4 linked regions of the Drosophila melanogaster genome follow. The protein of the gene in region 1 interacts with the protein of each later gene in a pairwise test. Each region holds a gene or a part of one and is shown on either strand. Other genes may lie near its edges. The genes, in order: DIP1, Adar, Tango9 and CG3511.

Region 1 (7,880 bases):
CAAATTAACCGCAGAACTTTTTAACAGATTTAACTCACTGAAATTCTGAAACAGATTCCTTAATACCGTTGTGTTTTTGTTGTTATGTTTTTGTATATTATTATCCCTATTTAAATTATTTTCCTTTTTCGTTGTTGTTTCGCTTAGAATTTCTATTTCTTAGAATTCCTTTTTCTTGCGTCCATACCGAAACGTTTTCGAATTTAAACTAATTTGTGAACATTTCTTTCGAGAATTGTTTTAAATGCGCACGCGCCCGGCGTCATAAAGCAACTGAGAGAAATCAAAAGAAGACTCACGAAAGGAACCCACAAATCAAGTCTTCTGATATACACAAAACAAAATTCATGTATTTTCATGTCTTTTTGTTTAAAAATTGGTTTCTACATATTTCATTTTCAAATTCAAACTGGCACATGTGCGTATGTGCATATGTGGAAACGCGACTAAACAATTATATTTAAGATGTTATCTTTAAGTTTTCTCGTTGAGAACGTTGTTTTAATAGGTGCTATACAAATTTGACACTAGATTATTGTCAGTGTACGATTTTCCTATTCGTGGACACCGTATATTGATTTCGGTCATGCTCTTGTACCGCAGTGAAGAAAACTTTTGCGACAGTATTAGGTATTTTATTTGGCGTTTTATTTGGGTGGACCTCAGTTAAAAATATTGGACCACTTTATTTCAGATATTCCAATTTAAACATAGAAATATGGTTACCTTGTGGTTTTTATTTGATCCTGATTTGTTTTCGTCAATAGTTTTGTGACTTAAGCAGCGAAACATTAAATTACAATTACAATATAAAAGTTACAAAATACGCGGTAAGTCGTACTCTGATTTTGATTTTGATTTTCTGCAAGTGGGTTGGTATATGTGTGTATTGAGTTCCCTGTAAGTCCAGGATCACAAGACGAGTCGAGCTGTCCCATATTCTTTTTTCCGTCTGCCCAATCAGTGACCTTTGAAACCTCGCGAACCTTAAGGGACTATGCCTGTATGCCTATGCAGCGCAGTTTGACACTGCTTAAATATTCGTAAAAGAATAAAAACCTCGATTAATATATAAATATATAGCAAATATATTTGCAAAATATGATAAACTGACCTATTAATCCCAACACAGATAGTTAATTTTCATAAGTTCGCTTGCATTCCTATTGATGTGGTTGAGGAAACGCAAAACTCTTGTGAACACAGTGTGAACACCTATTCTATTTTTCGTTTATCCAAAACTGTCATTCCCACACTTTTGAAAAATATTCATTTTTTTAAATAAAATTTTTGTCTTGCAACTTTCTATAGATATGCAAAAATAATGTCGAAAATTTTCCGTCGCACTCCCACTATCTAAGTAACAGGTATCTTACCTTACTTTGAGCATTAGTATTTTTTTAATATATGCATAATATGAAAAACACACCTATTAATCCCAATGTAGATAGTTAATTCAGTTGATTTGGTGTTCATTTTTACAAAGTCGCATACTTTCCTATTGCTGTAGTTGAGGAAACGCAAAACTTTTGTTAACACAGTGTGAAAACATTTCCTGTTTTTTGTTGACGTTATAGATTTTGCCCACGCTGCAGACAGGCAAATTGTGTTTGCAAGTCATGAAAAGTCATGCGCTTATGGTTCGAGTTCTATACTATTTTCTTAATACATTTGAATGTCAGTCAGTCAAACAAAAATGTAGGGAATTACCATGCACACAATTTAACAGCTATAATATTCTCGCGATATACAGAAGTACTGTTTCAATTCTAAATTTTCGCAATAACTTTTAAGCACTTCCAAAGAGCATCGTCGTGCTATTTTTAGCATGCTTTTAATTATTTCACAATAAAATCTTTGGTCTGCTCTTTTTTTTCCGCCGTCTTTCCATCACTTTGCTTATATTACTATGGCCAGTGTGAAATGTCTATAATATATTTAATACTAAAAACGATTTTCGAAATATGTGAAAAATATCGATATATTTACATATATTTTGACATCCCTACTTAAGTTTTTTACTTCAGTGCAGTACGATTCTTTCTGTGACCTGAGCAGTGAAAAATTAAATTACAAAAGCGAAAAAGCGAATTACAAAAGTGAAAAATTAAATTACAAAAAAAATCAAGATGAAGCGAAATCGTCGTGCATTTGCTGGAAACAACAAGCCATTTGTCTTTGGAGGCATTTACGTAAGAATCTTAATTTTTTTTGCAAGTGTGTGCAGGAGTGTGAGTTAAGAATTCCCTGTGACGTCACGAAGATATGTATTCCGAGTGAAAATGCATCACGAAAACAAAAACCATTGTTGGAATCATCCATATTTGATTTGTGAAATAACAAAGTTTTCGTTTTTATTTCTATAATTTGCAGCGCACAAAGTGAAAGTGTTCATTCACAATTCACCACAATTGTGAACTCATTTGCAATAGCCACTAAAAGCGGGTTAATCGAAAGTGCAGACCGTTGTCCGAATTCCACCAGCATTCACAATGCACCCCCCAGACATCCACCACCTTCCCCTCTCCCCTTACATTCGTAACCCACCCATTTGCATTGCACTCATTCCACTCCGTTCGTGCTTTCGATCAACTAGATATGGCCAGCACTGCTATAGTTTCACGCTGGACTTGCGGTTATCGCTAACTTTTATGGCTACTGAAAATGCATTCACCCGAAACTGTAACTAAAATTATTAGTTTTGGGTCAGATAGCAATGCCCATTCACTCCACCGAAAGTGCCCGAAACGAGCCGGCGACCATGAACTCAGCCGATGACCGAAGGATCCCCATAACTATTGTTTCATGCTAAAATAGACAGAATTGTGAAACGTATAGGTCGATAGTCAATTATTTTACTCTATTTTTGCATATCGGAGAAAATTCTATTAGAATTAGAATTAGATTTTCTCGAACCTCTCTGCAAACAGAATACATTAGCGAAAAGTTAACTCACCATGAGACTGAATTTATTTGTTAACCGGACTTTGCGGTTTTTATGCCCATTGAATTAAAGAGACATTGGTTACCCTAATAGTGCAGTACACCTGATTTTCATAGATTAGCATAGACTACCTGGTCCCGGAGTCCTCGGCTGGATCCGATAAACGGAGATCCACAGTCGCTGGGCAGTTGGCTCCGTTGGTGCAGAGCTTCGTTTCGGGGCACTTGGGTCGCAGGAATGGCCATGGCTAGTTCCGGAACTATGGTTTTAAGTAGACCAGCCGACCACCCTGACGGTTCCGGGTAACTTGACGACTTGATGGTTTCCGTTGGCCAGCGAGTCGCTTTTTTGTCGACCCACTGGACCAGTCCGCTGCAAGTGATTTTGTCTAGGGTAGCCTGGCGAGCCAGGCGGAACCCGTTGCCTTCGCTAACTAATCGACTAATGAAACTCTTTCGCAAACGCAGAATCCCAATGCCACCGTCAAGCCTTTGATCCAAATGCCGTTGCAGGCCGCCAATGTCCAGGAGCAGCAGTCTTCTCCGGTGGCTTTATATCCGACATCGGCCTCCCCGGTGGCTGTTCAATCGCCACAGGACGCATTTTTGGCTGTTCAGTCGCCAGGGGCTCCTGCCCCCGTTCAACTGGCCAACTCGTCCGACCAGCAGAATAATCCGGATGCGGACGCCATTGCCTCCAAACTGCCCATGCCAGTTATCATCAAGGAGGAGCCGATCTCTGTCAACGATGAACCGTCCGTCGACAATATAGAGGACAATACCAGTGCCAGTACCAGTGCCAGCGGCATCGGGGGCAAGATCCCATTTAAAAAAATCTTCCAAAAGCGCAAGAAGTCGTCTGGTAAGCGAGGAAACCTTTGGTGATCAGATTTCCCAGAATTTTCACACGCTCACACAAAGCACTAGGTTTCTTATGGAAGGGCAGACCGGAAATTACTTACAGTTGTGTTGCGAGTTTAAGATAAAAAATTCCTATGTTTTATAGTTTTATTGGTCCATTTTTTTTATAATATCATTAGGTATTTAATTTTGAACAATTCAAAACATGTTTCACATTTATTCCTTCAATAGTTTCAAAAGTGTAGATTAAAACAACATAATAGGCAGAAATTCTTTTTCTTTTTAATATGTTAATTACGGCATAACACTTGGTTGGATAGCCTTTGTTAGCTAGCACAGCCTTACACCCATGCGGCATGGTGTCCACTAGGTCCTGGCAACGCTTGGGGGGAATTTCGACCATGCATCCTGCACAACTTGTCAAATCTGAGCCTTAGGCGTCGGGCAGTTCTTCGACACATATTGTTTAATGTCCCCCCACAGGGTTTCAATCGAGTTTAAATCGGAAGATGGTGCTGTCCTCGGCATCTATTCTATTTTGGGTGAACCTAGCCGATTTGCTTCTACGTTTCGGATTATTATCCTTTTGGAATGACCATTTTAAGGGCATATTATATTAAGAATATGACAGTAAGACATCACTAAGAATATTTACATATGCGCTTTTGGTCTATAATACCAAAAATCATATTTTATGGACTCATACCATTGTAAAAAAAACTAGCCCATAGCGAAGTTTATCCTTGTCTGAATATGCCTTTGGCTAAGTAGGGGCACCTTTCGTGGGCTCTTCGCACTTAAATTTTGATTAAGTAGTCGTCTCCGAATTGCAACGTCACTGATTCCCAAGTTCAGCTCAGACTTCATGTCCCTAGAGTATGCAAAAGAATAGACTTTGTTTTAACGAACTATGCGTCGATCCTCTATATCTGTGGTTTTACGTTTGGTATGGTTTTTTGAATGTCCTTATATGTTTTTCCTTTCTTTTTTAGCTTAAGAATTAACATTCTTTTCTCCTGGGAGCAGTGCTGTCCTTTAGCCACTAAAATATATTTTTTTTTTATTTTTTTTTTTAATTTATTGCCCTTTTAAATATACGAATTAACTTAACCGAACTCACTTTTTAGAAAATATTGATAATTTCGGGACTTTACGTTGGTCAAAACCAGACACTGCTATTCTTATGAACAGCCTAAAAGTTGTGATTTTACTCAAGAATGAAAATGAAAAATAAAAAATAAAAAAGGATGGCATGTAAAGCTAAGGGAATTTTCTTTTTTTTTTATTCCTATCTACACATTCCATTTTACACTAACAAGTGGAACAAATAGTCGATTCCGAAAAGGGACATGGAAAAATTTGTATTACTTAGTTTCCCTCGCACTGCTATTTTTATGAACACAGCTGTACTTACAACTTCAAATTTCATTTTTATATATTCTTGTATATATGTCTATTAACTCTATCGTAGAACGCACTCGGGACAAGAAGTTGCGACAGAACCGCCAGCTGCGCAAGTCCATGCTCCCCAAGAACGCTCTGATGGCCCTCAACGAGGTGAAGGGCGTGACCATCAGCGATTTCACCATCGACAGCAATACCGACGGGGGATTCACGGCCGTTGTCACTGTCAACTCGAATCAGTACGAGGGCAAGGGTACCTCGAAAATGACAGCCAAGAACGCGGCCTGCGAGAAGGCTTGGCGCGATTTTATTATTGCAAAAATGACCCCCAAGCCGCCCCGTATTCACCAGGTGGAGATGGGTTCGGAGCCAATGGATATCAACGAGGATGAGGCCGATGCACCGGATGATGATCTGCCCATGTTGAATCTGGCCTCGTTTGCCATCTACAAGCTGTTCGCGGAGTGGGAACGGGAGGGCTATGTCGTGCCCGAGATGCACCCTTCGGCCAATGCTGCCCAACAGGCGGGAGGGGATGCCGGAACTCCAGTTCCCCCCGTGCCGAAGGAGCCAAAGAAGCCGCCAGTGCGCACCGAGCTACCCTCTGGCTGGGAGACCATGCACCCGGCGACCATTCTTTGCATTGTAGGCCAGCCCACCTTACTACCTTACTATGTACAGTGTCAGTAATCAATTCCTCTGCAGATGCGTCCGGGACTCAACTACGTGGACTACGGGTCATCTGGCGACAAGACCAACGGCATGCAGCATCTGGGAATCATGGTGGACAACCAGGAGTTCCACGCCAACGGCAGATCAAAGAAAATCGCCCGTCGCAACGTGGCCGTGAAAGTGTGCAACTCTCTGTTCGGCACCAACTTCACCTACAGCGACACCACTTAAGACACCAACTCCAACCGCAGACTCCAACTGCCGACGACAACACACATAACGGACACTCTTAACGGACAGCAATCAGAAGATTGCGACCCTGACGTCAATTGCGCAACTTTAAGCGACACCACTTAAGACACCAACTCCAACCGCAGACTCCAACTGCAGACGACAACACACCTATGCCTCTCTTAACGGACAGCAATCAGAAGATTGCGACCCTGACGTCAATGGCGCAACTTTAAGCGACACCACTTAAGACACCAACTCCAACCGCAGACTCCAACTGCAGACGACAACACACCTATGCCTCTCTTAACGGACAGCAATCGGAAGATTGCGACCCTGACGTCAATTGCGCAACTTTAAGCGACACCACTTAAGACACCAACTCCAACCGCAGACTCCAACTGCCGACGACAACACACCTATGCCTCTCTTAACGGACAGCAATCAGAAGATTGCGACCCTGACGTCAATGGCGCAACTTTAAGCGACACCACTTAAGACACCAACTCCAACCGCAGACTCCAACTGCCGACGACAACACACCTATGCCTCTCTTAACGGACAGCAATCGGAAGATTGCGACCCTGACGTCAATGGCGCAACTTTAAGCGACACCACTTAAGACACCAACTCCAACCGCAGACTCCAACTGCCGACGACAACACACCTATGCCTCTCTTAACGGACAGCAATCGGAAGATTGCGACCCTGACGTCAATGGCGCAACTTTAAGCGACACCACTTAAGACACCAACTCCAACCGCAGACTCCAACTGCCGACGACAACACACCTATGCCTCTCTTAACGGACAGCAATCAGAAGATTGCGACCCTGACGTCAATGGCGCAACTTTAAGAATTCCTTTTCTGTCAAAGTGAAGAGGCATATTAAACAAGAATTTCCCAATTTAGTTTGTATTTGGGACAGCTCTTACTTATGATTTTTTAGGTGGGCCGGAGCCGTTTTCAACAACGAATAATTTTGAACTGCAAGAGCCGATAAGATTATCCGAATAATCTAAACGCAGGATTCCTTGGTAATGCTGATTAATTTTTTCCGTGTATTTTGCGACACACTGTGGGTTTGGTTTTTTTGAAAACGCTTCCACAGAAGAGGATTTCAGTGGCAGATTGGGTATCAAATATTAATTATGCTTACCAGTGAATTACATTTTTGTCGTAAACTAGATTAAGCTAAATGGGTGGTATAATTACTTGATTTTTAAAAACATGAAGACATAAGTACATGTATTGAATATAAAATTGTAAAGTGCATTTTGATTTCTTGTGCTCATACTTGATGAGAGTGAGTATTTGTCCAATGTTGCCCAATGCTCTTGATTGAGACAGCTTTTAAATTATACATTTATTTTGAATAAAACGACATACACTGAAGTATTGTACCGCCGCGTTTCCCTGGGTGAAATCCGCGAAGTGGTTTCACAAACCCTGTACACTGCTGACATGCAACACCCGTCAACAACACCGATGAGTCGTCCCCTGCTCAGCTGATCCTGGCCACGTACCTACTGATGACACCATGCTTGCGTCGCCCTCATCCTTGCAATTCGCTTCCAATGCAGTTCAGGAATGGCTGCATGCAATCGATCGATGGACTTTCAAATGGAACATAACCATTAACTGCACTAAGTCGGCCTGTGTCACATTTACCCTGCGACCTCAAACCTGCCTAGGTCTTCTCTTCGACGGAAATACAATTGACTATGTCTCATCCGATTGCTACCTCGGAGTTCACCTTGATCGGACGC
Region 2 (7,887 bases), about 20 Mb from region 1:
AAGGCAGTGAAGCAAAGTAAGAGGCTTCATCCAGGAAGTAAGAGGCTTTGGTCACGAGGACCGGGGTTATTCTGGGTCTTTCATGGTAATAAGACTGCATATTGGCTGGAAGCGATATGGTTCAGTTTGATCTTGCCGTAGACTCCTATGCATAAATGTAAACGTATTATTACTATTAAACAATATAGCATGATATTAGGCGTAGTTATGTGCAATTATTATACTCCATATGGCATGATTCGTAGTTTTAGGACAATTACATTATATTCTGGTGTACTTTCTTGTTCCGTTTTCCATTTTTGCAACTCGTTTTTAAATAGCATAAGATACTTATGATTAAATGGTAGGTAACTTTATACCTTGCTTTCCTATAGATCCTCTTTATTTTCAACATTTCTTTTGCTATGAATCACAACACCACCTAAGTTCCCCAAAGGAATTTCTTATTATTCTTTTTCGATGTGTTTATTTAAAATGAAAAAACTGATCATAATTTAAGAACGGAATTATGCTTGATGTTGTACTTGATGTTCATTAGTACTTGAAGCTGGCCGGTCCGGTCCTATTATACTAGACATTTACAATTTTCGCCATCACTTGTCCGACAAATGACACTCAACACACAGGTGCTGTGTTATATAAATATGTTGTAATGAATTCGAAATGGTCAGAACAGCGACAGAGGATATTTCTCGAGCCTAACGAGTTTCCGATTGTTTCACTTGTTTATTTCGTGCTTTGTTCACAACACACTTTGGGCATTTCACATTTATTGTTTCCCACTTTGGGCAGGCAATATATCTACTTATTGAAATTATAAAGAAATTTTAAAGGTATTCTTCGTACTTGCCGTGCAGCTCGGTGAGCTGTCCTTTTAGCCACCTATGCGCACATAAATAAACTACGAGACTGCAAGCGCCAATTGCTCCAAACTTTGACCATAAATATAATTTCTTCGAACTGAGTGATTCCGCAAATGTGTATCGTATATCCCGGAGTCTTAGTATATGTACACGCACACATTTTCGCAAGATATTTATTTTAAAATGTTGCTGTTGATTACTGCAGATTTTGATACGCCAATGCAACTCATGCATCTCTGAGTTTGTGCTGCAGCTGCTGCAGCAATAACCGCTCCACCGACATCCAAATTTTAATGTAAATTCGTTCATGCTGTAGGGTTGGTAATGTCTTTCTGACATTTTGACTTCATTAATTCGACGAAATCTGCCTTCTGGGCGTCTGCGAAAGTTTTATCAGCGCCAAAGCATCTCAATTTTCGACATGCACCGTGCTTTCTGTTCAATTGCAAAACAAATGACACCTGCCATTAAAGCAAGGTTGATGTCCTTCGATTAGAACGGGTGCCCCCTTAAGAGTGGTTTTCAAAATTAATTCCATGCTCGACTCAAAAAAGATGGCTAACACAGCTTATTATGTATTTTTTTTTCGGCCAGTACTGGTACGGGTTAGGGAGCAAATCAAACGAATTCCCCAGTATCCTATCAGATACCTTTTCAGCCCAGCCCTTTGAAGTGTCCCCGAATGCCTTGCACTGAAACGGACTGGCATGGCACATGTGCCTTCCCTTTAAAAGGGTATATAAATATCGAGCTCCTCGAGATCGCAGCTAGTCGCGCAAATTATCTGCACACTTACAAACATGTGTTTTTACACATGTATGTACATTTTTAAAATTTTTTTTTCATAATTGCAGTTCCTTCTACAAAATTAGCTGCAGTTGGCTTTTGTCGTTGTCAGATAAATGTCAGTGCTTAGCCGGGAAACTCGAAATTTATCAGTCGCTGGGTTGTAGACGGTCTTGAATGTCATATCGTTGCTCGATGCTCGCTGCTCAGTTTTCTTGCAACAGAAATAGCAGTGAAATAGGTGGACCAATAATGTATCCAGTGTCCTACAAACCAGGGCGTGCGTGCTACAAATCATGCCACCATGCAATGCGAGTAGCTCGATCCTCATTTGGTTACCAACGTCAACAGTTTTATGCCGCCTCTAGTTATGCAGGAAAAAGGTCACGATTTTTTGTTAAGCGCCGATTTACGTTCCCATCATTGCCTGGCAATGTAAGTAGATTTAGTCCAACCGAACTCTGTGTTCAAACCAAACTGAACCGAAACAAACTCGCACTCAAGGAGAGATACAACATGTAGTTTAATATTTGTATGCCTTTTAGCCGTAAGCCCACAAAAAACTACCAAAAATATAACACAAAATTATATGAACATATTTTAACCGAGCAAAATGTGTGAGAAAGTCGTTGTAACTAAACGTATTCGTGTGCTATTGTTTTACAAACGTCTTGCTATAACTGTCTATATGGTATCGATGTTGTTGTGCGTAATATTAAACAAAGCGTTGTGTGTATGTATGTACCATGATTGGTCTCTAAGTCATGTTTTTGCTTTCTAGAAGTGCATAATTCAATTCGGCAATATTTGATATATATGGTAATATCAAATGAAGAACCGTGTCAATGATACTTGCTTTGGTGCCATAAAAAGCAAGTCCTCTAGAAGACGCGAGTTACTACATGCCTACACACAAAACGGGTCCTTAAAATGAAGTTTGAATGCTTTTCGTTGTACTGTACAGTGTTAAAAGTAAATGCCTAAATACTCTTGATTTCACTATTAATGCATACGTATCCATAGCCGGTGAGTGCACCATCCGATATCAACATGAATGGCTATAACCGAAAATTGCCACAAAAACGTGGCTATGAGATGCCAAAATACTCTGGTAAGTCCATCCCCAAGCACTAGGATGTGCCCAATGTGCCATGCGGGCATATCCCAGATTGCTAGATCAAATGCGAATTAGTACACTGATTCCCAACGCCATTTCGTTTCACTAGATCCAAAAAAGAAAATGTGCAAGGAGCGCATTCCCCAGCCGAAGAACACGGTGGCCATGCTGAATGAGCTAAGACATGGACTGATTTACAAATTGGAGTCACAGACTGGTCCGGTACACGCACCTCTATTCACGATATCCGTGGAGGTAAGATATGTTTAAACCCATCGGACCCTCTGAGCGATCGACCACTGAGCTGAAACATGAGGAGGTCGCTTTGAGGAATTATCAAAGGAACGGAACCTGCGATCTCAAGTTCTCTAATCTAATTCACAGGTCGATGGACAGAAATACTTGGGCCAGGGCCGTAGTAAAAAAGTTGCACGCATCGAAGCAGCAGCAACTGCACTGCGCAGCTTTATACAGTTTAAGGATGGAGCAGTTCTGTCGCCTCTGAAGCCGGCGGGCAACTTGGACTTTACCAGCGATGAACATCTTGAAAATGGTATTGAAAATTTGTCCAGTTCAAAAATGTTTGAGATCATTCAGACGATGTTGACTGAAAAGCTATCCAACCCTACCTCGCTTGAACAACCCACGTTTTGCATGAGTCAGAGCAAGTATTAGTGTTTTTATCCTCTTTTGTTAATTATTTTAATTTATTATTTAATATAATTTATTCTGGAACCTTATGCGTTGTGGCCATATCAAAGATGTCTCCATTCATCTAATAGCAATGTTTTGGCCGAATATCCAATAGTATCGGCCATGTCACAAAATCAATTGTTATCAATGATTTTAAGCAAATATGTATGTTTAAAGTGCCGTAAGGTTCGCAATGTTGATTTTGGTATCGTTTGTGTTATTTGTATGAGAGCACACACAGCTCATTTGGACTGAAGTTTTTATAGGCCAAAGAGAATGCTTTTTACTTACTGAACCCATTTTTAATAAATAACCCAACAATCGGCTACTAAAAGGCCTCGGTGTACTTGAGTCCTGTTTTTCTCTTGTTTTTTTTTTTTTTTTTTTTTTTTCCTTTTATTAATGCGCCTTATTCAGCACATTATGCTTAATAGAGCAACCAATTCTGTGCTTCAGTGTCGTACGCTTACTTAAATTGACTTTCATTGGTTGATCTCTACGTTTTTATAAGTTTCTTGTGTTTCTTGTTCATTGTTCCCCTCGCGTTTGTCTGATATGGCTAGAGACCACTATTGCGTCTGAAATAAGATTAGAAAACTAAGGCGTAGCTTCAGAGTGACGAGCAGTCAAATATCCCCAGCTAATTTTGTTTTATATTGCTAGATGTCAGCAAAAGTGCTATTACTGTTGACGGTCAGAAGAAGGTTCCAGATAAGGGTCCTGTCATGCTCCTCTACGAATTATTTAATGACGTTAATTTCGAATGCATTAATATTGACGGCGCCCAGAACAATTGTCGCTTCAAAATGACCGTCACAATCAACGAAAAGAAGTTCGATGGAACAGGTATGTAGTTGAATTATCTCGTTGTTAACGTCAACCCACCCAGCCACATACAATGTATGCTAATGTGTAACTCAATTTTTCTCAAGGTCCTTCCAAAAAGACGGCGAAAAATGCGGCAGCTAAGGCGGCACTTGCTTCGTTATGCAATATTTCCTACAGTCCAATGGTGGTGCCACAGAAGAACGTACCCCTGCCAATCGACGACAAGTCGTCATCGATGGAGTTGCCTCAGATACACGCGGATACGATTGGTCGGTTGGTCTTAGAAAAGTTCATGGAAGTAATCAAGGGCCAGGAGGCTTACTCGCGTCGAAAGGTATTAGCGGGCATTGTAATGACTGAAAACATGAATTTTTGTGAAGCCAAAGTGAGTCCGCAGCCAGCGAAGCATTGCGAAACCAATTATAATGCCAAACCCATCCTTGATCAGGTTATTTCAGTTTCGACGGGCACCAAGTGTGTCAGCGGTGAGCATATGAGTGTGAACGGAGCTGTCCTAAATGATTCCCATGCTGAAATAGTCTCCAGGCGTTGTCTTCTCAAATATTTATATGCACAGCTGGACCTTCAGTGCAATCAGGGTATAGTTGTTTGATGTATATGCTAAGTTCAGTTTACGTATACTAATAATACCATAGAACTTAAATCTAAGAGTAATGCATAATCTAGTTGTTAAATGTTGATATCGAAAATGTACGCTTTACCAGCAAGAATTGCCTACATAGAAGCTAAAGTTCCGATTTGTGCTCATTAACCGTATACGAGCACAAACTTTTATTTTTTCTTTCTTTTACACATTATAAACAAGCACTTTAAGCTAACTTATGTTTTCCCCGTCTGATCGTTTTAGAAGGTGTTTATACAAAATTAAATTTTAAGGGCAAACCATCTTAAAAATAAACAATTTGTAAACATTATCAAATCTAAGCACAAACATTAAAAATCTCGAATATCCTTTATTTTGAATGGCATTTACCTTAATTACTTAATTACTAACATTTCAGTTGTACTATTTCATTGAATTATTATCTAAATTGCAAACCAATTATTAAGTAGCAAAGGGAAAGCTTCTAAAGTAACATTGTTTCTTTTGAATTCAATGTAATGCCTGTGGCATGATTTGGGCCCAGTGAACACATTTAGTATTCTTAAGTCAAAACTCACCTATCGGAAACACAATTAATGATAGTTCTTTTGACTTGGAAATAAGAGTGGGCATTATAGGAAAAGGTATTTGCCTTTGGCTCAAAACAAAATCATAAAATATGTATAAGTTGCGTAGTATTTTGCGATTGGCATTTTGCTTTCCCAGCTTAACATTCTTACTAAAACATGTTTCGCATTGTTTTGTTGGACTTCTTTTCATGTATACCTTTGCGTATTGGTGAAAAGAATGAGATTTAAACATAAAACTACTTCGTTTTACTTTAATTTATATTTGATTACTCTTATTCAATTTTCTCCTAAATTTAGCCACAGCATATCAGTCGATTTTCGTGAGGAATACTGATGGGCAATACCCTTATAAACTAAAATCCGGGGTACATTTCCATTTGTATATAAATACAGCACCTTGTGGGGATGCACGGATATTTAGTCCTCACGAAAACGACACTGGTGTTGATAAACATCCAAATAGGTTGGTACAAACTGCATTCTATAAATACTCGATATTTTTATATGAAGAATACTTTCTCTACCTATTTACACATTTAAATTGTATTATTCAAGTAGAATTATAATGATTTATATTTGTACGCAATAAGAAACGACATTTCCCTGCAGGAAACACGTTGAGATTGCAAAAAAAATTTGTATTTGCATAAAAAAAATATATATTTGTATATGTACAATTGCGTGCTTAAGAATGCCACAAGTTACCGTCAATGAAATTGCGACATTTGTTCATTATAAATAACTTTTAAAATCTGGAATGCAAGCATATGCCAAAAGAAGAAAGCACTATATCGCACACTTTCATTTCAATTTGTGGCAACATAATGCACGAAATTGTTCATATTAAATATTAGAACTATCAATTTGAACATGAGCATGAATGTATACAAGAAATCAGGTATTTTAAAGCTTTTACTCTTTGTGTTGAGTCTGTTTAGAAATGTATTTGCCCCCGGCTTTTTATTCGCCATCCGTTGTCTGTATGTATGTGTCTGTAACGATTCAGTCAAGTGATTAAGATGACAAGGATATACAAAACATGGGCTTCCGCTTCCACAATTTTGTTAAATACGTATTTGTATGCCCTTGCAGTTGTTATAGAACGCAGAGAATAAGGCATCTCTTCCGCTATTAATAAACTATTGCATAGTCTATATGGCAATGTCCGTCTACAAACTTCGGAGCTCCGAAGTTTCCTTTCTTGTTTGCAACAATCGTTTAAAATGACAGTTCGAAATAGGTTAAGCATAAAAGTACCTACCATTTGAATCAGATTTAATAGGTGCCGGTCTGAGGGATTACTTTGAAGTATATGTGAGAAATGAATTTTAATGATAAGCCTTGCCGCCCGCCACTCCCTACCACATAATGAAGTAATTCATACCATGTTTTGTTTCCAGTATTACTTGGCATGTTTTAAACGTAGTTTTTGAACAAGCTAATAATTATATTTTCCATACTCACATTTTATAATGCCGACAACGAATCATACATGAAATAATCATCAATCAACAGAAAAGCTCGTGGCCAGCTGCGCACCAAAATCGAGTCCGGTGAGGGGACGATTCCAGTGAAAAGCAGTGATGGTATCCAGACGTGGGATGGCGTATTGCAGGTAACCCGATTGGGCGGTTGCTATTAGATCGTGGTAAACCATCAACATTACAACATTTATGACTTTTGTGCAGGGCCAACGCCTGCTAACAATGTCGTGCTCGGATAAAATTGCCCGTTGGAACATCGTGGGCATCCAAGGCTCACTATTGTCTTCCATAATTGAACCGGTGTACCTGCATTCGATTGTGCTGGGAAGCCTGTTGCATCCGGAGCACATGTACCGCGCAGTTTGCGGCCGAATTGAGAAGTCCATTCAAGGCCTGCCACCGCCGTACCATCTGAACAAGCCGCGCCTGGCACTAGTCACTTCGGCCGAGCCGCGGAATCAGGCCAAGGCTCCCAACTTCGGGATCAATTGGACCATTGGGGACACCGAGCTGGAAGTGGTGAACTCGCTAACCGGTCGAACCATTGGCGGCCAGGTGTCTCGCATCACAAAGCAGGCGTTTTTCGTTAAGTATGGATTTCTAATGGCAAACTTGCCCGGTATTTTAGTCCGCAAAGTAACCACTGACTATGGGCAAACCAAAGCTAACGTTAAGGACTATCAGGTGAGTGTTTATATGCTGGATCATTTGAGGATATGCATCAAATTGTTTGCCACATCTGTTCTTGTAGATCGCAAAGCTAGAATTGTTCTCTGCATTCAAGCGAGAAGACCTTGGCAGCTGGCTGAAGAAACCCATTGAACAAGACGAGTTCGGTCTTGCCGAATGACTGCACTCAGCACTATTATATAATTTTAAAAAAGACAACAGCAACGGCAAGCAATTAATAGAATTAGACGAC
Region 3 (6,211 bases), on another chromosome or scaffold:
AATGCTTAAAGAAAGTTGAAGAACTTAAGCAGGCTTTTATGTTTAGTTACTTGCATTTTTTTAATTGGAACAATTATACCTAGTTTACTAAACGTACAACATTACATTAAAAAGCAAAAGAAGCAGATATTTTTACTTAATAGCATAGAAACGTGTTACATAAACCACCTTTAATGTCAAGCATGAAATTGTTTCGCCCTATTGCAGAAATCTGGGAACAAGACCTTTCGGACACCTTTAAAATCGAGGGCAGCGACCAGGGCATTCAAAAGGTTAACCTCAAGTGCGGAGCGGACTCCATGAACGTGGTGCTGGAGACGGAGAAGCCTTTCATGGGTGTGATGTACACTCGTGGCAGCTTCTACAAGCAGTCTGCGCCGTGCTTCATGAAGCCATCTTCCAGCCAGGGATCCCGCACAATGGAGATGAACTTCCAGCTGGACCAGTGCCAGACGATCCGGGATGGTGATCTCTACACCAACATCGTGGTGATCCAAAACGACCCAGAGCTGATCACACCCGGAGATTCGGCCTTCTCGCTGGAATGCGACTTCCGGCAGCCTCGCAACCTGGACGTGGAGGCCAGCATGCAGGCCAGGGACAGGTAAGGTGGCGGATCTGAGTCCGAATCTCTGATTACGATCTCTGATCTGCATTAGAAACCCACAAAAGTTGCGCGGAGCACGCGGTGGAGCCCGCCAGCGCCAATAGATCTTTTCAACCAATCTAGATCTTTCCTCTTCGACTACAATCACCTCCAAAAGCTGTACATAAGGTACAAGAGAGATGACCAGTTTTTTTGCTATACCCCCAAAATCTAATACCAGCCAAGTAGCGCTATACTAACCATACATAACTAACTTTGGTACACAACAATCAGTTACGGCCCAGATAGGTACTCATAGGATATTCGAATATTTATCCGAATTATTTAGTCCACTTGTCACACCACCAGTACAATACCCGCCCACATACATGCATTCCACAGAGTGGCCACTGGTTCGAAAATCACACTCACAAGTCCTGATCCCGCGGCACCCACGGAACACCTACATAACTCGGTGGTCAGCAACAGCGACTCGGTCGCATACATACCAAAGTTCAGTCGGCCAAATAGAACCATACACCTGGGCTCCGTGGAGGAGGTGACGCTGCCATCGTCCTCCCAGGCGCGAGATGAGCTCTAGGAACACCTACACTCCACGAAACGATACTTAAATAGAACACAAGATACTCAAAGACATTATCACAACACTTAAAGAAACACCACAGAGTACAGGTGAGGCGACAGGACACGCTTTGGTTGCCAACTGTGTTTTTGCTTGCTAATGTTTGCTAAATATCGATTTTGCGATCCTATACTATATTATAATATTGAATTATTTACAGGAAATTAGCACAGAATGCGACGCAGGCGCCAACGGAAGCAAATTGATGGCAATTGTGCGGCAAATGCATTAACACCACTTCATGTATTTTCATTTAAATGGTTTTTCATATCCTGTGATATTTTTTAAGTTTGTGTTTAATAAAAACTTGGCAAAAGTAATCCATTTTTCTGTTGAAATATTTATACAATTTGTAAAGTCCCAAAGATCGTCAACGAAGTTTTATGTGACACTTTCCCTAATATTAAATCCATAAGCATTTTGGTGTCGATTCAGTTTTAATTTCAAAATATAATTTCACGCGCCAATTTAAAACCCACCAGTTGCTTTGTAGTGTGACCATATTCGTTGTTGATTTCCTGCTCACTATATTTTGTGTAGTATTTTTGCTAGCCTGTGCGGTCTCACTGTTGGCGAAAAAAAATAAACAAAAGTCCCGTAAAGACAAACTAATTCGCACTACTTGCAAAAAAATTACTAGTTACTTAGGTTTTTGACCTTGAAAAAGGTAAAGTTACTGGTTAATGACCACAACAACTCAAGTGGATTATATAGATCTGTGGAAGGGCAGTCAATTGACCGTCTGGCCGCACTTTTTTGCACTTATCACTGCGCAGTCACAATTGCAAATTGCACAAAGAACGTCAATATTTATAAATCGAATTAACGCTGCACCCGTCAAGTGAATCTTCCGCCGACGAATGGATCATCGTGTTTTCCTGTCGCTGATCTTTGTGCTCAGCGGCACCTTCAACGTTCTGGTGGTGAAGTGAGTACCAAAAGATCGCTTAATAATAGTAAGTAATAGTGCTAAATAAATGTGCACTCGATGCTGTGTGTGCGTGTACGCATTGCAGGTGGGCCAATCAACAACAGGTAATCGGCAGCGATGGAAAACTTCATGGATTTCAACATCCAGTGGTGTTCACACTGCTCATGTTCCTGGGCGAGTTCCTGTGCTTTGCGGTCTTCAAGGTGATCCGCCTGATCTCCAATCGTCGTGGAGTAAGTTCCAATGCCGGTTGGTTTATAATCGGCAAAGCTTTTGTATTTAAGGAACTTTTAATCATCTGGCAATCATACACAGGTTATATCCGATCTGGATAGCATCTTGTCGCAGGACAGCAGTGAGTTCCGCCCTGTTAGCATGCTATTGCCCACTTTGCTGGATGCGGCAGCCTCCATTCTGTTGTTCACCGGACTTTACTTGACTTACGCCACCAGCTTTCAGATGATAAGAGGTACTTCTATCAGACAGTGGCCTTGCTTATCATTACTTACGTCGCCTCATCTTTCCCGCAGGCGCCGCCCTGATCTTTGTGGGCATCTTTAGCACCATGTTTCTGAATCACACGCTGACCGGACGGCACTGGCTGGCCATCTTTACGATATCGTGCGGCCTGCTGGACATTATCAGTCTGGACGTCCATCGCGTTGAATACGACCTGGTCACGTTGCCTTACACGGACTACAAATCCATTCTGACCGGCGACTTACTCATCATCATTGCTGAAATTCTGCACGGACTGCAATATGTTTGCGAGGAGAAACAGCTAAAAACCTCGAATGTTGCTCCACTGCAAGCTGCTGGCTGGCAGGGAATCTTCGGCTTGGGCATCACCTCGATGCTGGCCATTTGCATGAACTTCCTGCCGAGCATTGATCCATTTAGCTGTAGTTCGCGTGCAGTTTTCGACGATTGGGGTGATCTCTTTGCGGCTCTGCAGGGGAGTATCTCATTGATTATGACTCTGATTGCCTTCACCATCTCATGTGCCATGTACAACTTCATTGGACTGTACATTGCGATGTACTCGTCCAGCGCCAACCGGCTTCTGGCCGATGGCCTACGCGTTTACTTCATCTGGGTGTTTGTGATTATCATGGAGTGGGAGTACATGAATCTGGTCACGATCATGGGCTTCCTCATCCTGCAAATGGGTATCATCCTCTACCGACAGGCCCTATTCCTCGACTGGTATCGAGCTGCAGTGGCCCGCTGGTATCGTGCTCGTTACGTGGATTTGGGTACTGAGAATGCGGCTGCTCCGAACAGCCGGCCAGCGGATGTGATCTAAGGTGACTGAGGAGTAGCTGAGGTGAAAGGATTGTGATGAGAGAGATGGGCTGCAAATCAACCCTGGGCTGATTCTTGAAGATTACTTATCGATTATATGTATAGATGCAATAAGAAAATACACACATTAAATGTTAATTGAGCTCCTAGAAGTCATTTCATTTCATTAAATTCTAAATATTGGTTTATATAGGATAATTCCTCTATGATGTAGCCGTCCAATTTGGGAAAGTTTCATACAGATAGCTTCAAACCTGGGGAACTAGCTTGTGTAGAAGACGGACGGATAAAACGGACATGGCTTAATCGACTCGGGGATAAAAAAATTCTTATTAATATGAGGGGGGGGAAGAGACCTTTAATTATAAGTTACACAGATTTCGTTCGCTCGATGCCCAGAATCTTCTCGCCCACACCCAAAAAATAAAACATTTGCGCGATACCAAATAGTGGAGCTAGCACCATTATCCGACATAGACCGCCCTTAAAGAATGCACTTATGCCCTCTTCCTTAAGGGTCCTATTTACACAGTCCATGATGCCTTTGAACTTCTTCTCGCCATCGGCCTGCAGTCGAGTCTTGACCACATCAAAAGGGGTGACCATAAAGGCAGAAGTCATGCCAGACAAGAGTCCAGCTATCAGAGACCAGTAGAAGACCGCTTCCCCAGAACCATCTGACTTGCGTGGCCCCTGGTCATTTATCCAGGCCATTAGCGGAAAGTACACCATCGAGAACGTAATATCCCGCACTCCAGTGGCGCCCACACCCTTGTATAAACCGAAGATTCCACGCTCACGAAGGAGCGTCTTGGTCAGACCCAAGGCCGTTATAGTTTTCACCTCTCGTCCTGCCGCTCGGTCGGCAGCAGCCACCCGCCCGGCGTCCTGCATCTGTATCTTGAGGAGCTCCATGGGCGTGGTGACCACGATCTGGAATAGCCCGGCCAGGCCCCCGGCCAAAGTAGCCCGTGACAACGGAATAACCCCGTCATCGGATGCCAGATGATACCGAAAGAAGTCGTTGGCGGTCAACTTGATGGCTTTCTCGGGCGTAATCAGCACGATGTTCACCGCTGAGCCTCTGTACATTCCAAAATAGCCTTCGCTGGCGATAGTCTTTCGGAAACAGTCGGCGCTAAGGCAATAGAGTTCTCCATTAGGCGGATAATAACAAAACACAACCCAAACCGAAAACCCAAAACTCACATGCTGGTGTACATGCGCTCTCCATTGGGACCTATTGTTTGGTTTTGCAGTCGCGTCTTAACCATGTCCAGTGGATAGACGCATGCCACTCCAATAATACCGGCGACGCCGCCATTTATAATTTTCGGAAAAACGCTGTGATGGGTTCGCAATTAAGTATAGGTTGTAGTATTAACCATATGGTAGAACTTATTAACTTAAACTTTTGTGGTTTTTTTTGCTCTTGGTTCTTTTGCTCAACTTGTTCCAACATTTTTTTTATAGGCCAAGAAATAATTAATGTTGTACGAAAATTTTGAATTTACATTAGTATATTTCGTTAGTTCAATTCTGACGGTTTTTATAAAGCATACAATTTCTCTAGTCATGTTCTTGAATGCCACTAAAAGTAAATTTCGCCTGGCAGCAAAGAAAAATGCATTACTAATACAATTTGATGCAGAACGTTCATGGCTAGCTGCGGATTGCTCGGGAAATAAAGACTAAATAGAGAGAGTATCCAAACACAACAGTTATAGACTATGATATTAACCAAAAATGTACATTATATCAGCGATTAATTTGCTTTATCTTATTGTCATTGGAGCATCAGTTATCTTCTGACATGGTCTAAATACATATGTAGTACATCGTTTGAGTAGTTTAAGAGGATTGGGGAAAACTTTAACAACTTCGCTGGCTGGCGCATCGTTCGATTACTTTAGCTTACTATAGAGACTTCACGATTACATTCATGGACAGCTTTAACAACATTTAAACACGATATACATACACATTCAATATTCAAAGAGAGTACATTTAAAATGCTTCGGTCTTGTCAATCCGCCTTGGCGCGCACTCATTCCAAGCCGCCCTACTTTTTCTGATAGCCCAGCAGGCCCTCGGCCACGCCCAGATAGTAGACCGTTTGAGCGATTCCGAACAGAGGAGCAATCACAATCATTCGGCACAGGCCGCCCTTGAAGAAGGCGGTGGGTCCCTCGTGCTTCAGTGTCTTACTATTGGAGAATTTATATGAGTTTAAGGATATATTGGCAACATTTCTTGAACTCACGTGATACAATCTGATATGCCCTTGAACTCCTTCTCACCGTCGGCCTTCTTAATCGCCTGCAGACGCGTCTTGACCACGTCGAAGGGATTAACTGCGAGGGCAGCGGTGGAACCGGCCGCCAAGCCCGCCAGGAAGGAGCACCTATTTAATTAGCATAAAATAAATATAAAAATGACAAATAGACAATTATGCTTTACTTACCAGAACACAGCCTCGCCAGATCCATCGTTTCGTCGTGGACCCAGGTCATTGAGAGTAGCGAAAAGGGGGAAGTAAATGATAGAGAAGGTGACATCTCGCAGTCCTGTGGCACCGATACCCTTGTACAGGCCAAAGATGCCCTTGTCCTTGATAAGCTGGGAAGCCAATTGGGTGGCCGACACCTTCTCCACCGTCTTGCCAGCCAATTTGGCCGCCGCCGCCACGCGACCCGCATCCTGCATCTGGATCTTGAGAAGCTCCATGGGCGTGGTGACGATAATT
Region 4 (5,401 bases), on another chromosome or scaffold:
TCTGCTTTTGCCCCTCGAGCGGTGCTCGTAAGCTGGGCGTCTTAGACGTGGTGGCCACATCAGCGTCAGCAGACGGGCGCTTCTCATCCGGCGAAGTGGTGGATGAGGCTACAACCTCATTCTTTTCTGCCGGTGTGGGGGGCACCTCGGCTTTTGTGCTCTCCTTGGAATTATCATCAATAACTACTACGTCTTCGCCATCGCTGGCTGCTTTTTCAGCATCTGGTGAGCCAGATGAGCTGTCGTCTATGACCACAATATCCTCAGCATTAGTCTTGCCATTCAATTTGTCTCTCGGCTCTTTGGGTGCTTCTGTAGCGCTTGAGGCGTTGGAAACCTCTGGATCCTTGGCATCGCCCTCTATTTCGAACACGTCTACTGACTCCTCGTTTACATCGTCATCTTTGCTTGTGCTTGTGACGGTATTATCACCCTTATCGGTGTCTTCTGGTTTGACTTCGCTGCTGGATTCCGTCTTATCTTTGTCCCCATGCTTCTCGGTAATCTCTGCAACAAATGGAAATATCGTTAGAAACATTCAAGTCAGCTTGCTGGAACACCCAACCCACCTTTAAAGTCAACGCCTTCGCCATCCAGTTCATGCTTAGACAAACCCGGCGGGGCATTGATGTCACCAGTGTGTTGAAAGAAGTGGTAGGGCTTAACCTGAATCAAATTTGAAGCCATGTTCCACACATCCTCGCGATCGTCAATGATGCACACCATGGAATCGCCATTCGGAAACAGAGCCCTGTAATATACAATTTGTAGATTATTGTTTAACACGTTTAACAAGTGAAAATCCAAACAGCTTTCAGGTATAGAAACGCACTTTAAATTGTCCGTCTTGCTGGTGGCGTTGAAACACTCGTCTCTGGACAGAATCCTGTGCGAGAAGAACTTGCCCTCCGGGTCCAGCAGCTGGGCAATCATGTGCGCGTAGTTACGCGCACCAAAAGTGCAAATGTGCAGTTCGTACAGCTGGGACATGCGCTCCAGAAACTCGGCGGTGCCGGGGCGCAGGCGCGTGTGGTACCACGGGGAATGTGGGCCGTACAGCTGGAAGTGGTAGATGCCCTTGATGTTGTCCGGCACAGTGTCGTTGGTGGTGTGGATCACCGTCTGATCGAGATCGACAAGCAGGACCAGCTTCCTATCCGCCAGCAGGCGGCGGGTGTCGTCGTGCCCGAGCTTCTGGGCCAGCTTCTGGGTGACCTTAAGATCGGGCATGGTGTGCACCATTGGCACCGAGGCCTCGGAGGTCTGTCCCTGCGGGTTAAATGTTTAATTATTCTATATGCCCCTTGAGGTGGGTGGCAATGTGCACTCACATTCTCGTTCTGACGCAAGTCGGCTCCGCAGTCCGCGCACATGTCCTTGATGACCGTGGTGTGTATGCACTCGGACAGCTCCAGAATGGCATCCCTAAAGAACAGGCTCGGTTAGTGTGTATACGGCTGCATAATTGCATTCCCCCACGCCCAATCGCCGCCCGATTGCAACCCCCAAACTCACCCCTTCGTAAGAAGCTCCCCTTCCTTGCGAAGGCGCTTCTTCACCACTCCGGCGCGCTGGGACTTGTACCTCTGGATGGCACAGTCCCCGCCCGGCTTTCCCGCGTCCTTCGCGTCCTTCGCGTCCACGCCCACGGGCTGGTAAAGAAACAAGATTTGGGCCGCCGACACGAATTGTCCCTCGCGAACCCGCCATTTATTGATTACCGCTCTCGCCTCGTTCTCTCCCAGCGCAGCTCTCAAAACAATGATGCCGCCACCGCTGGTGTTGTTGTTGCTGTTGCCGCTGGCGCTGTTCTTGGCTCCGCTTCCTCCGCCGCCATCGTCGCCTTCGGCAGCTCCAGATGCGGCCACGCCCCCTGGCGCGCGGCTGGGCGTCGCGCCCTCCTCGTCCGGTATGTTCTGCATCGCAAGGCTTACGTTTTTATATACAAACGATTTGTTTAAATCCCAGTGCCTTGTTGTGTTTGCAATTTGTGTGAATATTGCGCGGAATTCGCATAAGAGCGCGGACAACTTTTGTAACTGCTCTCAAACAGCTGACTGAGCGCGAAAGGCGGAAAGTACTGATGGGGGTTTCACTTCGATTTGGTTAGTTAATGTGCGTAATTAACCATTAATTGGTAATTCAATTTATTTTACTCGTTTCTTTTAGTTTTGAGTTAAAATACAGGATATTCGTCCAAAGATATCGCAGAATCATTTGAATCAGCTGCTTTTGACCGTTAACCAACACTGTTTAATCGGCGGCAAACTAGTTCAGTCGTATTTTGTTTATTAACTTCCAAAATGAGTGATAAAACCAAGGAAGACCTGAAGCGCAGTGCCCCGGAGGAGGAGAATGAGCCCCAGGAGGAATCTGTGTCATCCGAAAAAGAGGCGGAAGGCGAGGAAGACGCCTGGATTGGACCCATGCCTTCAGAGCAGAGCGCTCCCGCGCCCGCCAAGAAAAAGAAGGGTTATTATTAAGAATTAGATTTCATTTAACTATAACTAATCAATAAATAGTCCTGCCCTATGAACACATCTACCTGGAAAACCTGCCCAATGCTGAGAGCTACGAGAGGAGCTACATGCACCGCGATGTGATCACTCATTTGGTGTGCACGAAGACGGATTTCGTAGTGACCGCCAGTCTGGATGGACACATCAAATTCTGGAAGAAGGGCGAGCTGGGCATCGAGTTCGTCAAGCACTTTCGCAGCCACCTAGGTGGGTTCTTGATCCACATAACGTGTATTTCTTCGTTTAACCAAGTGTTTGTTGCAGTACCCATCAAATCACTGACCACCAACGACAGCGGCACGCTGCTCTGCTCGGCGGCCACGGATCAGACAGCCAAGGTCTTCGATGTTGTCAACTTCGACATGATCAACATCATTCGATTGGGCTACACACCGCAGTGCAGTGAGTGGATAAATGGGCCGGGAGATGCCGTACAAGCACTGGCCATGTAAGTACCTTATCAATATCTGGAGATTAATGATTCTGATTGCTCCTCCTCCAGCTCGGATTCAGAGAGTAGCCGCATACACATCTACGACGGGCAAGGAGGCGGAGAAGCCCTTCACACCTTGGAGAAACTTCACTCGGCGCCCGTGGTGGCGATGTGCTTGAATGTGGCCATGGAGACCGTCATTTCTGTCGATCGCAATGGCATTCTCGAATACTGGCAAAACTCGAAGTACGACTACAAGTTTCCACAGCGTCTGGTGAATTTTGACTCCAAGCTAGACACAAGTATAGATCGATGATTAAGCTGAGTGAACCTAGACTCATCTAAATATTAACCTTTTAGGCCTCTTTGAGTTTGCCAAACAGAAGACCCAAGTCACGGGTTTAGCCGCCACGCCGGATGGAAAGCGTTTTGCCGCCATTTCCACAGATCGTAAGGTCCGCGTCTTTCAGTTCAACACGGGCAAGTTGATCCGGGTATTCGATGAAGCTCTATCTACATACACCCAAATGCAGCAGACGAAGCACGCCCTGCCCAACATGGAGTTTGGCAGAAGGTAAACTAGAATAAAATAGTTATTATTTATTGGTTTAAAGATATGAATTCCAGAATGGCGGCTGAGCGGGATCTGGAGAAGACTGCCCAGAATGCAACCCTTAATATTTTGTTCGACAGCACTGGCAACTTCTTGCTCTACCCAACGATGTTGGGCATCAAGGTGATCAATGTGGTAACGAATCGCTGCGTCACAATTCTAGGAAAAACCGACAACATACGGCCCCTCCAGGTGGCCTTGTTTCAAGGAAGAATTAAGCGCCAAAAAGCTGCTATAACAATGGAGCAAGAGGCCAGTGAAAACCCAGCACTCCAGAATATCCTTAACGATCCAACAGCCTTTTGCACTGCTTACAAGTTAGTTCATACCGTTTTGAATTATATCTATGCTGTATTATAATGTCCATTCTACTACTCTTATTAGAAAAAGTCGCTTCTATTTGTACAGCCGAAGACTGCCCTCGGATCTGCAGGATGTCGACCGCGATATTTTCAACGAGAAGCCCTCGAAGGAGGACATTATCGCCGTGCCGGAAGCTTCAGGTATTTTGGTTTGGCTTATCCCATTAACCTTTCTTAACTAACCCAAAACATGTTTCTATTGCACGCCAACAATATTTTAAGACGAAGGTTATTCCTATCAGATATTTCAAGAACAATTCATTACAAAATGTTCCTTCTATTCTAGTCGTGCAACGCATCTACGAGAACGTGGTGCTCCACACCACGAAAGGCGATATCCACATGAGGCTGTTCTTCAAGGAGGTTCCAAAGACGGTTGAGAACTTCTGTGTTCATGCGAAAAATGGGTATTATATATACGTCAACTGTTGAGAACTGTCCCATTGCAATCACATTATTTTGTCAGGTACTACAATGGACACATATTCCATCGCGTGATCAAGGGCTTCATGGTGCAGACTGGCGATCCCACGGGAACGGGCACGGGCGGCAAATCCATTTGGGGAAGCGATTTCAAAGACGAGTTCGTGCCGAGCCTGAAACACGATCGGCCCTACACGGTCAGCATGGCTAACGCGGGTCCAAACACGAATGGAAGCCAGTTCTTTATCACAGTCCTGCCCACGGTAAGGATGAATGCAGCGGTGATTAGTTTACTTTACTGGATTGACTAAGTACCAATCTCTAATTGCAGCCCTGGCTCGACAACAAGCACACGGTGTTCGGAAGAGTTTACCGCGGCATGGAGGTGGTTCTCAACATTTGCAATTCCAAGGCGAATCCCAAGACGGACAAGCCCTACGACGACATTAAAATTATTTCGATACACTTAAGTAATTGAGCAGAGGGCTAAAATAAAACTTTCAGCGACACTGGTTTTCAAATCTTCGGAGAACCGCCAATGCGCCGCAAAGAATTTTGGTATTTTTTTTTAACTCGGTTTTTTTGGTGTTTTCCCAGCCCGGCACACTAAACAGCTGATTCGTTTCTTGCATTCGGTGTTCCTTTTGTTTCGATAGTGCAATTAATATAAATTGGGACAACTGCAAATCTAATAGTATTATTAGAACCGGAATTAGTTGTGCACCTTCTAGTATTAGAGACTTATTAACATAACCAACCTGTGCCTACCGGAAATATAGAGGTACTTCTCGCAAATTATGCGGGTTCTTGCAAGATAATACGATACCATTTGTTTATGGCTGAGTAAAAAAAAAACAAAGAACTCCAGGCTGACGAGTCATTTGTGCGTATCGGCACTGAATCTGCTCCAGATTCGAAAACTAGGTTTATTTACATTTGCATGCAAAGGTATATTGTCTTCGATATGTGAATTGTAGTATACGTACATAGTTGCCTTTATTTCCAGACATGAGCTAGGCCAAATATAACCGCTCGCCATGTCCAATATGGA

The links.
Region 2: the proteins of DIP1 (region 1) and Adar interact in a two-hybrid assay, tested with the Drosophila melanogaster proteins (one large-scale study listed by BioGRID).
Region 3: the proteins of DIP1 (region 1) and Tango9 interact in a two-hybrid assay, tested with the Drosophila melanogaster proteins (one large-scale study listed by BioGRID).
Region 4: the proteins of DIP1 (region 1) and CG3511 interact in a two-hybrid assay, tested with the Drosophila melanogaster proteins (one large-scale study listed by BioGRID).

What each region holds. Positions count from the first base shown.
Region 1 is NC_004354.4:21,624,286-21,632,165, reverse strand, and holds DIP1 (DISCO interacting protein 1), read left to right. Parts: upstream 1-2,017; 5' UTR 2,018-2,129; coding exon 2,130-2,192; exon of another isoform or gene 2,193-3,262; coding exon of another isoform or gene 3,263-3,322; exon of another isoform or gene 3,323-3,411; coding exon 3,412-3,805; intron 3,806-5,275; coding exon 5,276-5,853; intron 5,854-5,913; coding exon 5,914-6,111; 3' UTR 6,112-7,370; downstream 7,371-7,880.
Region 2 is NC_004354.4:1,775,940-1,783,826, forward strand, and holds the start of Adar (adenosine deaminase acting on RNA), read left to right. Parts: upstream 1-1,879; 5' UTR 1,880-1,901; coding exon 1,902-2,084; intron 2,085-2,430; exon of another isoform or gene 2,431-2,579; coding exon of another isoform or gene 2,580-2,621; exon of another isoform or gene 2,622-2,672; coding exon 2,673-2,760; intron 2,761-2,875; coding exon 2,876-3,021; intron 3,022-3,150; coding exon 3,151-3,319; coding exon of another isoform or gene 3,320-3,441; exon of another isoform or gene 3,442-4,122; coding exon 4,123-4,305; intron 4,306-4,391; coding exon 4,392-4,672; intron 4,673-4,735; coding exon 4,736-4,886; coding exon of another isoform or gene 4,887-4,900; exon of another isoform or gene 4,901-5,261; intron 5,262-5,778; coding exon 5,779-5,944; intron 5,945-6,996; coding exon 6,997-7,096; intron 7,097-7,169; coding exon 7,170-7,649; intron 7,650-7,716; coding exon 7,717-7,815; 3' UTR 7,816-7,887. UniProt on the Drosophila melanogaster protein: Has A-to-I RNA editing activity on extended dsRNA: edits RNA-binding protein Rnp4F. A-to-I editing of pre-mRNAs acts predominantly through nervous system targets to affect adult nervous system integrity, function and behavior.
Region 3 is NT_033777.3:11,970,492-11,976,702, reverse strand, and holds Tango9 (transport and golgi organization 9), read left to right. Parts: upstream 1-1,792; 5' UTR 1,793-2,089; coding exon 2,090-2,157; intron 2,158-2,245; coding exon 2,246-2,393; intron 2,394-2,475; coding exon 2,476-2,629; intron 2,630-2,690; coding exon 2,691-3,466; 3' UTR 3,467-3,834; coding exon of another isoform or gene 3,835-4,603; 3' UTR 4,604-4,674; coding exon of another isoform or gene 4,675-4,809; 3' UTR 4,810-4,871; coding exon of another isoform or gene 4,872-4,927; 3' UTR 4,928-5,527; coding exon of another isoform or gene 5,528-5,672; 3' UTR 5,673-5,696; downstream 5,697-6,211. Other genes in the region: CG10005 (uncharacterized protein), read left to right, coding at 208-604, 989-1,187; GC2 (glutamate carrier 2), read right to left, coding at 3,835-4,603, 4,675-4,809, 4,872-4,927; GC1 (glutamate carrier 1), read right to left, coding at 5,528-5,672, 5,729-5,869, 5,930-6,211.
Region 4 is NT_033778.4:24,569,603-24,575,003, forward strand, and holds CG3511 (uncharacterized protein), read left to right. Parts: upstream 1-2,024; 5' UTR 2,025-2,105; exon of another isoform or gene 2,106-2,169; 5' UTR 2,170-2,303; coding exon 2,304-2,472; intron 2,473-2,522; coding exon 2,523-2,726; intron 2,727-2,783; coding exon 2,784-2,967; intron 2,968-3,021; coding exon 3,022-3,254; intron 3,255-3,312; coding exon 3,313-3,526; intron 3,527-3,579; coding exon 3,580-3,882; intron 3,883-3,949; coding exon 3,950-4,068; intron 4,069-4,213; coding exon 4,214-4,334; intron 4,335-4,393; coding exon 4,394-4,613; intron 4,614-4,681; coding exon 4,682-4,828; 3' UTR 4,829-4,901; downstream 4,902-5,401. Other genes in the region: Fcp1 (TFIIF-interacting CTD phosphatase), read right to left, coding at 1-507, 570-751, 833-1,269, 1,332-1,425, 1,516-1,922; Start1, read left to right, coding at 5,388-5,401.